Linked DNA regions of Drosophila melanogaster. The protein of the gene in region 1 purifies or fractionates together with the protein of each later gene. This does not show direct contact. Each region holds a gene or a part of one and is shown on either strand. Other genes may lie near its edges. The genes, in order: ApepP and CG3107.

What was found.
Region 2: the proteins of ApepP (region 1) and CG3107 purify together in Drosophila melanogaster (affinity purification with mass spectrometry, with the first as the bait; one large-scale study listed by BioGRID). This does not show direct contact.

The regions. Positions count from the first base shown.
Region 1 is NT_033779.5:16,907,625-16,912,610, reverse strand, and holds ApepP (aminopeptidase P), read left to right. Parts: upstream 1-2,192; 5' UTR 2,193-2,302; exon of another isoform or gene 2,303-2,426; 5' UTR 2,427-2,453; coding exon 2,454-4,295; 3' UTR 4,296-4,382; downstream 4,383-4,986. Other genes in the region: tweek, read right to left, coding at 1-907, 971-1,939, 4,488-4,986. UniProt on the Drosophila melanogaster protein: Catalyzes the removal of a penultimate prolyl residue from the N-termini of peptides, such as Arg-Pro-Pro.
Region 2 is NT_033778.4:5,088,802-5,095,872, forward strand, and holds CG3107 (uncharacterized protein), read left to right. Parts: upstream 1-1,779; 5' UTR 1,780-1,941; intron 1,942-2,202; exon of another isoform or gene 2,203-2,999; intron 3,000-3,070; 5' UTR 3,071-3,097; coding exon 3,098-3,675; intron 3,676-3,725; coding exon 3,726-6,252; 3' UTR 6,253-6,289; downstream 6,290-7,071. UniProt on the Drosophila melanogaster protein: ATP-independent protease that degrades mitochondrial transit peptides after their cleavage. Also degrades other unstructured peptides.

The DNA.
Region 1 (4,986 bases):
TATGTTTTAAGGAAGCACTGCGGGAATGACAGGAGGCCGGTGTGCTTTGCAAGCTAGATATCTCATCATTGGACGCAATTGTGTCCAGTCTTCTGCCAGTATAGCTAACATTGTCCAGTGTTTGCGGAACGCCAACTCCACTCACTGAAGATCCAGATCCAATGTAAGAATGCGAGCGACCGTAGGTCTTCAGGGACCTTCTCAGCGATGGTCTTTTCCACTTCTGAATCATATCTCTACGGAAGTACTTGTAGCAAATGGCTTGTAGCTCTTGGAGTCGTCTTTCCTCGTGGGCCACGGTATTATGTGATGCTCCGAGAGTACGCAGATCATTGATAATCTTCAGCTGTTCGGCCATCTCCTTCTCCATCATGAAGGAACGCTTCTTGGAATCGATTGTGGGATCAAATACAAAAGCTGGCAAATTGTCGAAGTCTCCTCTGCGCCGCACAAACGTATCTCTGCAGCTCTGATCTCCTTCATCGCTGTCCGGTGATTCCATTTGGGTCTCATCCTCTTCGAATCCCGTGAGCATGGTAAGAGTGTGGCCAAGAGAACTCAGCTGCTTGCCAATATTCACATCCAGGTGAATATCCACGCCCTCCATTTGCCACTTGACATTCAACAGCCACTTGGCGTTCTCACCCTTCTTAGCTGCTGTAGTGCGGGAACACACCTCGAAGGTTCCCTCGGAGACAACGCAAACGTTCATAATGGGCTCAGCGCTGTTGGGCTTCCAGTCATCTAGATTTGTTTCAAAATCATCGGCAAATCGCAGGCACAGACCCTGGAACTTTCCCTTAGACACTAAAGCTCCCGAGTTGCAAGCTGAGATAATCGTGTTCTCCAGCGTGATTACAACCGCGCCCTTGGCATCAAAGTCTTGGTATGAACGGGAGCCAAAGGTCTGCAAAAGAAAATTTATGTGGTTCAAATAATCTTTATATTACAGATTTAATTGGATACATACCGTAGTGTTGACCTGTTTCAGGGGCAAGCAAATGCCCATGTCCTCCACGGTGAGTTGCAGGAAGAGCGTAGACAAATTTGAGCCTGCAATCTGGCCAAAAGCCACGCGATCGAACACTTGTGGATTCTGCATATTTTGGTTCTGATGCTGTCCCGAATACTGACTAAGGAGACTGTGCTGAGCGTGCTCGTGGCAGAGATTCGCACGCTTCTCCGCCCAGTACTCGTAAGCATTCTTATAGTTAAGCCACACGAGGATCGCCTTGTCCACGGCAATTGGCTGAACGTAGACCAGTGGTCTCTTCAGGGTCAGCAGAATCAACTCCTTGTCTTCGTTGAGCAGTTCGTCTTGGAAAGCATTCCTCAGGTTAATGGTAGTGTGGAAAAAGGCGTACTGCTGGAACTCCGGCTCGGCCTCGTCGAAAATCACATTGCGTATAATCTGACCCAGGGACAAGTTGAAATCTATGTGAGCCTTAAAGAAGAGCTTACGATTGCTCATATCGCCTAGGTTCTTCACACGGTTAGACAGCTGCAGCTCCAGGATTCCGGTCTCGAATCGAACAGCCGAGGAGCAGGGTGTAGTAGCCGTCAATTGGATGCGTTTCATGGAAATGTTGATTGAGAAGAGGATGCGCTTAAGCGAGGACTCCTGTACTGCTCCGGAACTATCGCCACTCTCTTCCGTCCACAGGGGCACAGGTTTCTCTCCTCCGTAAACTTTCTGCAGAACCTCGTTGATTTCGCGCATAAACACCTTCTGCACAAAGACCAGATGGTTTAGGAGATCTGTGGTCAGGCAGCGCTCGAACTCGCCGATCTCGGCGCTGGCGTTCACGTAGCCACCTTGGCGCAGGACAATGCCCTCGACATTTTCCGTGTGATCCTGGCGGTGGTCTGGAATGTATTCCGCCAGAACGTGAACAGGTGGCAGGCCAATACAAGCTTCCGATGGAAGGTTCATCTCATTCTAAAAGGAATTACAAAGAAAAAACACATTTAATTACATCTACAACATTTTTTAAGATCTTAGTTGAATTCTTTTCAAATACTGTTGCTGAGCTTCTTTATAAGAGTTATACTCCTTTTAATTATACATTAAAAACATTAATATGGGATAAGTTTCTTAATGAAATATTTAAATTGTTCCCGCTACACTTTTAGTGTTACCCTTTTAGGCAAAAGCTAAAAAATACTGAAAGCTTGGAGGCGATATGAAATAATATAGTTCAGCATTTTTGACGTGCTATTAATTGCAAAATTGAATGTGTCAGTGCAAAAAGATTATAAAATATTTGCACCCTGTAGTTTAAACAATAGTTTGACAGCCTTTGTAAGTGTGACACTTATATTCGCCCGATTATTTATGTATTTATGGGATACAAGAAACTCGATTACGGTTGATTATCTTATCGCCCCAACTGGACTACAAATTCTGTGTTTTTTTTTTCGCTCAGTTATTTTGCTGCCATTGAGGAACCACAATGAAGAGGAGCACCACCCAAATTCTGACCAGGTTGAGGGAGCTAATGCTCCGCGCCCAGGTGGGCGACTCCTGCGGCATATCGGCATACATTGTGCCCTCGGACGACGCCCATCAGTCGGAGTACCAGTGCCAGCATGACGAGCGACGCTCCTTTGTGAGTGGTTTCGATGGATCCGCTGGCACGGCGGTGATAACGACGGAGACCGCACTGCTGTGGACCGACGGTCGTTACTATCAGCAGGCGGAGAAGCAGCTGGACTCCAATTGGGTTCTAATGCGGGATGGTCTGAGCGCCACCCCGTCGATTGGCGCCTGGCTGGCGAAGAATCTGCCCAAGGGCAGCTTTGTGGGCGTGGATCCTCGCCTGTTGTCGTTCCGCGTATGGAAACCCATCGAAACGGAACTAAGCTCCGCGGAATGCCAGCTGGTGCCCATCGAAGGCAACCTCATCGACGAGGTCTGGGGTGAGGATCAGCCACCGCAAACCTCAAACAAGATTATAACCCTGAAACTAGAACATTCTGGCGTAACTATCGCCAAAAAATGGGACGTGGTGCGCCAGCAGTTGAAGGAGAAGAATGCTGATGCCCTGGTGGTCAGTGCTCTCGATGAAATCGCTTGGTTCTTGAACCTACGCGGCTCGGACATTGACTTCAACCCCGTCTTCTTCTCCTACTTGATTGTGACCAACGATGAACTACTGCTCTTTGTGGACTCTGGCAAATTGCCCACTGATTTTGTGCAGCATCAAAAGGAGAACAATGTGCAGATAAGCGTTTTGCCTTACGCCTCAATTGGCATTGAAATCAGTAAGATTGTGTCGACCAGGGAGTCAAAGATCTGGATAGCACCCACCAGCAGCTACTATCTAACTGCTTTGATACCCAAGTCACGTAGAATTCAGGAGGTAACGCCGATTTGTGTGCTGAAGGCCATTAAGAACGATGTCGAGATCGCAGGCTTCATCAACAGCCACATTCGCGATGGAGTCGCTTTGTGTCAGTATTTCGCCTGGCTTGAGGATCAAGTGAATAAGGGTGCGGAAGTCGATGAAATGTCTGGTGCCGATAAACTCGAGTCCTTCCGGTCGACAAAGGATAAGTACATGGGCCTTAGCTTCACCACAATTAGTGCTTCGGGACCCAACGGCTCTGTTATTCACTATCACCCAAAGAAGGAAACCAACAGGAAGATAAATGACAAAGAGATTTATCTGTGTGATTCCGGAGCTCAATACTTGGATGGTACTACGGATGTGACGAGGACCCTTCACTTCGGTGAACCCACTGAGTTTCAGAAGGAAGCCTACACTCGCGTTTTAAAGGGCCAACTGAGCTTCGGCTCCACCGTATTCCCAGCTAAGGTTAAGGGACAGGTTCTTGACACTCTAGCGAGGAAGGCCCTGTGGGACGTCGGTTTGGACTACGGACACGGAACCGGCCATGGAGTAGGTCACTTCCTAAATGTCCACGAAGGTCCCATGGGCGTAGGAATTCGACTGATGCCCGACGATCCTGGTCTCCAGGCGAACATGTTTATTTCCAATGAGCCTGGTTTCTACCAGGACGGAGAGTTTGGCATCCGTGTCGAGGATATTGTTCAAATTGTGCCAGGCCAGGTGGCACACAATTTCTCCAACCGAGGCGCCCTCACATTCAAAACCATCACCATGTGCCCGAAGCAAACGAAAATGATTAAAAAGGAACTTCTATCGGATGCGGAAGTAAAGCTGCTCAACAGCTATCATCAACAAGTCTGGGACACTCTTTCCCCAATCCTATCTCGCGAAGGAGACGAATTTACTCTGTCCTGGCTCAAAAAGGAAGTTCAGCCCATTTAATTGCATTTTTAACCCGTTATTTCGGTCATCTTTAACTAATATTCTTTCCCATGCATACACTTACTCTTTTCTCAAGACTAAAATATTAAAAAAAAAATGCTTTTATATACCTTTTAAAAGGGCTTATCTTAAATTTGTACGCTGAACAAATATTATGTAAAAAAAAAAAGTTTATAAATGTGTAAAGCTCACCTGAATTTTGGTATTAAAGCTGAGCGTGTGCGTGGGTAGGTCGATAACAAACTTTGCCCTCTGCCCAGTTACTCCCATGGAACTAACATGATTCATGCGATACTGGGCCTGCAGCGAAGGAAGTAGCGCAGCATTGATGGACAGACTCTGCAAGAGCACATTGAACTGCATGACCAGGGGCTGAAGCAATCCATTCTGGTGCTGTGCTGTGCCTGTCTTGGATTGCGCCATGTGTGCTGCCCGGCGAGCCGCCTGTTGCGGCTGCTGCTGGGCACCAGCTCCGCCGGAAACAGTGCGCTCCCGCATTTCGCTGGCCACTCCAGTTCCACTGCTGGCTCCAACTGAGTTGCGGGCATGGAACGGAGACTCAGGCTCCTCGGCGGTATGCGAACGCATCGTGGACCGACCAGAGTTACGCTTTACACGCAGCTCCTGTAGAGTGGACGACAACTGCTTAGAGCTTCGAGTCATCATTCCATGTAGGGCCACCGGATGTTGC
Region 2 (7,071 bases), on another chromosome or scaffold:
TTTAAAGTTCCTGAGATCTCGACGTTCACATGGACAGTAGGACAGACGGACATGGCCAGATCGACCCGGCTATTGATTCTGATCAAGAAAATATATACTTCGTAACGCATCCTTTTCCAGTTACATACTTTTCATCCAACGGGCGTACCCTTTATTGGCTGCGGAGAATCTGGAACATCGACAATAATGACAATTTAAGCTCTCACCAGTTGGCAAAGAATCCTGTACATGACGGTCTTTATCTTCATCTGTATCTTAATGTCGCTACTAAATCGTATACTTTCAAATTGCTATTCGCAATTCTTTATTCAATGATTTATGATCGTTCAAAAATAAAACATAATTCTGGGAGTTTTAAAATTGTTAAAAAATTCCAATTCACGTTTGATATGCTGTGCTGGATTAGGACATATTGCGTCCTCTCAAGATGTCACATCGGTATTTCTAATTTTTTGACATGTGCGTCAAAATATCGTCGTTGGTGGAATAGTAACATGAGAACGTTTTTTTTATTTAATTAACTTTTCGCTATTTATAAGTGAATTTCAAAAAATTTTAAAATTTCAAAAGCGCACATACATATGTAAAGAAAAGAAAGATCTAACTATCTATTTACGAGGGCTCAGAAAAGCATTTAGAATAAGCATCTAAATGATCCGTGTTGGCTTTCTGAGCTGAAGGCAATACCTTAACTTGTTGTTTGTAAACATGCGAACTTTGAAGACACATTTAAACTTAATTGCATATCAGCTGTGCTGCACTATCTCCGGTTACGTTCTCTCTCTCTCTCTCTCTCTTCCTAGTGCTCTCGCACCTTACCGTTCTGCTGTTTGCTCTGTAATTAAGTCGCTCATTAACATTCGCTTTCGTAACCTATGTATGCGCGATTCGATGCCAAGCTTAACCTAAAGAAATGAATTATAACCGTTCGAAATCTCTACTATAAAACGTGTATTCATTTCTTGAAAATATCTAAAAATTAATAGTAATAATAGCCACAATTTGACAAAACATTAAAACATTAAAAATCTACAACTTTTAGTATCATTTCTGAGAGACACTGCACTGGAAACCATTCGCAATATCGGATGACATTTACGCTAAAGAATTGGCAATATTACAAAACATTACAAACATTGGCAAACATTACCAATATTCTGTGGCTAAGGGCAATACAGAGTGGACTAGACTTCAAAAATTCAGTTCCAGTGTGTGAATCGATGGCATCGTTTCTGAAGCAGCGATGCAGGACGCTGGAGAATATGGAGTTCGCATAGGCAAGCTATGCGCCATGCATTCACAAGATGTAACAGATATGTAGTTAGATTTTACATAGATTGTATATAGATAGATCTTTCTTTTCTTAACATTTTTTGAATTTACCTAAATATAACGATAAAATATACATATGTAAGTTAAGACTATCACCCAGTATACAATCTGCCGAGAGAAATGCAAGAGCCTAAAGCTTTCAAGATAAGAGTGATGCCTTGACTTAAGATGTAGGGATAGCTTAAGAGATAATGATTGTGTGAGTTAGTTGATTTGCCTTGACTTAAGATGTTGGGATTGCTTAAGAGATAATGATTGTGTGAGTTAGTTAATTTCTGGATATTAATAATATTGAATACTCATTTAGCGCAGACCGCGCTTTTAAATGAAATTGTTAGCATTATATTTTTCATTCAAAGCATTTCATAATTTGTATGAAAACGTCCTAGTGTACCATTTTCCACCGTTCCCCCATCGCAGCTAAGTCATCGACGATAGCTTGACTCAATTATAAGTCGAATAAAATGTAATAATTTAGATTTTAATTGTCTTTTTTTTCTATACGCCGGTGAGTAAAATTATTTAGGTCCATTTCTGTTTGAATCAAAAATTAATGCCAATAAGGCATTGTTATGCCCGAAACACTACGTATACGTGCATATTTATCATGTATGTATATTATTAAGCAGTAATATACACGCTTACATACGTACATACATGCAATTGCATGAGAAACACTAAATTGTGGCATTCAGGGTCAAGATGATTGTCACAGTTCAGTTATTTTTAAAGTTTTTGCCGATTAGATCTATGGAATGATTTTTCATCAAGGCCGTTTTTAAGCTTTATCCAAATTCAGCCCAAGTTTATTGACCCATGTCGCCAATAACATTCTAACGCTCACAAACCAAACGAAACTGCCACTTCCACACTTTTGAAAATTGTTTTGATATTCTCTCGTTATTTCATTAGTGTTGTAAATTTCTATAGTGCTAAAAAACTTTGCTGTTGCCGAACAAGTCGATGGTTTGATTGGCAATGTTGCAAGTTGCGCAGTCTTGTTGAAACCAAATGTTTTCTAGACTATTCTCACGCACTTTTAAAAACAAAAATTCGTCGAGCATAGCTCGTTAGCATTTCCCATTGACGGCTCTATGATACCACCACCCCATAAACCGCACCAAATTGTGCATTTCTCTAGGTGCATCGATTGCTCATGGTATGCTTGTGGATTGGTGTCGGCCTATATGCGGCCGGTAAAATTGCTGATTGTGTTGAAGAATTCTCAGCGAAAACGATGGCCGGTTGGCTTCAGATCCTAAACCATCTGAATTTTGTGCGCTTTGAGACCCAAATCTTAGCGAAGATCCTTCACAATTTTGTTGGGCAAAGGTGTAACTCCTGCGCGCGGTGACGAATAGATGAGTTCCGTTCTTCTGTTACACTGGCCTCAACGGCCCCCATATGTATTTTCTACAGTGCGCACCCTGCGAAGTCTAGTCTGAATTGAAGGCCGATAATGAGCACCATTAAACTAGCGAAGCAAACGGTGTACAAATGACCACTGATTTTCGAAATAAAATTCAACGATTTGGTATCGCTGCTCAGCTATTATAGCTATTCATCAGCTAACATCAAAGGTAGCCCAACTGAACCCCATTGAAAAAAAAACCCCTTATAAAAAGGGTCGGATGTGGCTTTCTTCGGCAGTTACTAATAATTAAATTGTAAATACAAACACATGTATGATTCTTTGATATACAAATTTATACTTCTTTATATATTCTTTTGTATTTAGCGATTCAGCACGGATGGTGCTGAGTTCATGTTAAAAGGTGGAATGTTATCGCGGTGGAAGATGTGGTCTCCACAATACAAAATCTTGAGAAATCACCTTATAAATTTCAAGTCGGTGTCCACATATAAGAACATTTCTGGCGTCAATACCAAGCAGCCCAAATCTCCACGACAATTTGGTTGCATGCCACATGTAACTAAGAAAAGAAAATACAAGTATGAAGAGGGAAAGACATACCATGGCTTCCAATGCGAACGTGTGGAACACATTTCTGAATTTGAACTTACGTCCTATACTTTTCGATATGAGCGCACGGGTACAGAATTATGGCATATCGACCGAAATGATTCAAACAACGTATTTTCCATTAATTTTCGAACCACGCCCTTTGATTCTACTGGTCTACCTCATATTTTAGAGCATTTATCGTTGTGCGGTTCACAAAAATATCCTGTCAGGGACCCTTTCTTCAAAATGCTTAACCGCTCGGTAGCGACATTTATGAATGCAATGACTGGTCCAGATTATACTATTTATCCTTTTTCGACGATGAATGAGATAGATTTTAGGAATTTGCAACATATTTATTTAGATGCCGTATTCAGGTAAGATGTAAATAATTGACGATATCTCGTAATAATATCTTCCTTTCTAGACCAAACCTGGCGTATTTCGATTTTCTTCAAGAGGGCTGGAGGCTAGAAAACAAAGATATATTCGATAAACAATCGAAGCTTGTAATCAAAGGAGTTGTTTATAACGAAATGAAAGGTGCGTTTTCTGAAAACGCGCAGGTATTTAGTCAGAATTTACTCAATAATATTTTTCCTGATCACACATATCGACATGTGTCTGGCGGAAATCCATTGGAAATACCCAAGTTAGCATACAACGATTTAGTTGAATTCCACAAAAAATACTATCATCCAAGTAATGCTCGCATATATTCCTACGGATTATTTGATGCAAGTAAAACCCTCGCACTTCTCGACGAGGAGTATTTATCAGATCAAAGCTGGGTTGACAACTCTTACAGTTTAATACGTCAGCAAGAGCGTTGGACTCAGCCTCGTCTTGTACATATATCCAGTAGACTAGATAACATGGGTACAACAATTGATCGACAGAACCAAATTGCTATTGCACTGCTGATGTGTGATGCAACCAATATACAAGAAAGTTTTGAATTACACGTGCTATCTGAGGTACTTATTCGTGGGCCTAACTCCCCTTTTTACAAAAACCTTATAGAACCAAATTTTTCCGGTGGATACAATCAAACCACTGGATATTCATCGGATACTAAGGACACAACCTTCGTCGTTGGATTACAAGACCTTCGAGTTGAAGACTTCAAAAAATGCATTGAAATTTTTGACAAAACCATTATTAATTCTATGAATGACGGGTTTGATTCCCAGCATGTTGAAAGTGTTCTGCACAATCTTGAGTTGTCTTTAAAGCACCAGAATCCGAACTTCGGAAATACTTTGCTTTTTAATTCCACAGCATTATGGAATCATGATGGCGATGTAGTCAGTAATCTCCGCGTATCAGATATGATATCAGGGCTTCGGGAAAGCATAAGCCAGAATAAAAAATATTTCCAAGAGAAAATAGAGAAATATTTCGCCAATAACAATCATAGACTAACATTAACTATGTCACCTGATGAGGCATATGAGGATAAATTCAAACAGGCCGAGTTGGAGTTGGTAGAACAAAAAGTAAAACTTTTGGATGAAGTTAAGATTGAAAAAATATATGAGAGAGGATTAATATTGGATTCATATCAGAAGGCTGAGTCAAATACTGATCTTTTACCTTGTCTGACAATGAATGATGTAAGAGATCCACCAAAATGGCCTAAGCTATTCATACAAAATGTTCAAAATGTTCGGACCCAGATTTGCAAGGTTCCGACCAATGAAATTACTTATTTTAAGTGCATGTTTAATATAACAGGACTAAGTCATGAAGAAACTCAGCTTATGCCGCTTTTTTGCAATGTTATTAGTGCAATGGGCACCACAAACTATAATTATCGGGAGTTCGATAAGCACATCCTTTTAAAAACCGGTGGATTTGATTTTAAGTTACACTTAATTGAAGATGTTAGGGATTCAAAAAGTTACAGTCTAAGCGTAATGATAAACACACATGCACTTAATAACAATGTTCCAGAGATGTTTGCCTTGTGCCAAGAGTTGATTAAAAATGTTAGGTTTGATGACTCGGAGCGACTTAAAATGCTTATAGAAAATTATATATCATATATATCTGTGGGAGTGGCTAGTTCTGGTCATTTATATGCTATGTTGGGAGCAACATCACAAGTGTGTGATGCTGGTAAACTCAAATCGCTACTATATGGGGTAGATCATATAGACTTTATGAAAAATTTTGTACATTCTACAAGCACGGTAGATATATGTGATAAATTGTCGACAATTGCATCAAAAGTTTTTAACAAGGATAATATGCGTGGCGCCATTAACACAACACAATCTTATGAGCCATCGGCTATAAGTAATTACGAAAAATTTTTGGAGAGCCTGCCAACATTTGGGAAAACACAAACAAGTCGAAATATCCATTATTTGGACCCTAGCTGTCAACAATACGTGATGAACATACCAGTTAATTACTGTGCTAAAGCTTTGTTCACAGTCCCATATCTCCACCAAGACCATCCAACACTGCGAGTTTTGGCAAAATTGCTATCAGCCAAATATCTATTGCCTGTTATTCGCGAGAAGAATGGCGCTTACGGAGCTGGTGCGAAAATCAGCTCAGACGGGATTTTCAGTTTTTATAGTTATCGAGATCCAAATTCAACTAAAACGCTTAACGCTTTTGATGAAACTTATAAATGGTTACGTGCAAATCAAAATGTAATTGACCAACAGTCTCTTTTTGAGTCGAAGCTTGGTGTGTTGCAGCAATTAGACACTCCAATAGCACCTGGAAATATTGGCATCGATTATTTCCTTTATGAAGTGTCACAAGAGGATTTTGAGAGCTATCGCTCCCGAATGCTCTCTGTAACTATTGATGATCTGCAATGCGCTATAGAAAATTATTTTGGAAAAGAGTCCATGCATTATGGAAAATGCATTTTGGGTCCAGTCAATGCAAATTTGGAGCTTGAAACTAGTCACAAATGGATAATAAATAATTAACTAGTTGTAAATGTAATAAATTTATAAAATTCAATTTATTTTATTGGTTTATTTCTTTCATATATGTCCAAAGGACTTATGGGATTAATCAGGAAATTTAATATAAAAGAGATCCCTTGTTTTTTAATCATATACCTTTGAAAAAACGTTGATTTATATGCGCTAAGTGTCACATGTATCGTTTCATATATAGACTCTCGGGGTTTCCTAATACTTCCCATGACTAGTAAACGGTAACCTTTTCACCATTTCAGTCAGTCAAATTCTCAATTACACTCTCATCGCTGTCACCGAAGTCCAAATGTAGGAAGTTGGAACCAATAAATATTATTTAAGCTAAGGGTAATAATACTACCTTGGAATATTTCCCTGCATTCTTTGAAATTGGATTTTATCAAAGTAACATCTTCGATTTATTTAGATACTCAGTCAGACTTAATTAATTTGATTAAATACACAGTTGGATTCAAAAGTTAGCTACGCTCCATTACCGAAATTCGACTGCCAGGCCAGTGTTTTGCCGGCCGCTTAGCCAAATCCCACGGTGTCATCGCATTCCGCTGCAGTCACACGCGCAGCGTCGTCAGCGGTACGCTACAGAGCTCTAGGGTCGTTGACCTGTCGTCCGGTGCTGACGTTGCGATGGAGGTGGGGTAGGAACTACCCCGCAGCTGCAATAGTGGCTTCGAACGGGGTTGGGAGGGGGAAGCAAGTGCTGCGTTCTGACTCCTCCCCCTTCAAGATCTGCGTCCCCCAGATTAAGTAGCCTTGGTTTGTCCGGAGGTAACAGGCGGATCCGGGAACAAGGTAATATTGCCT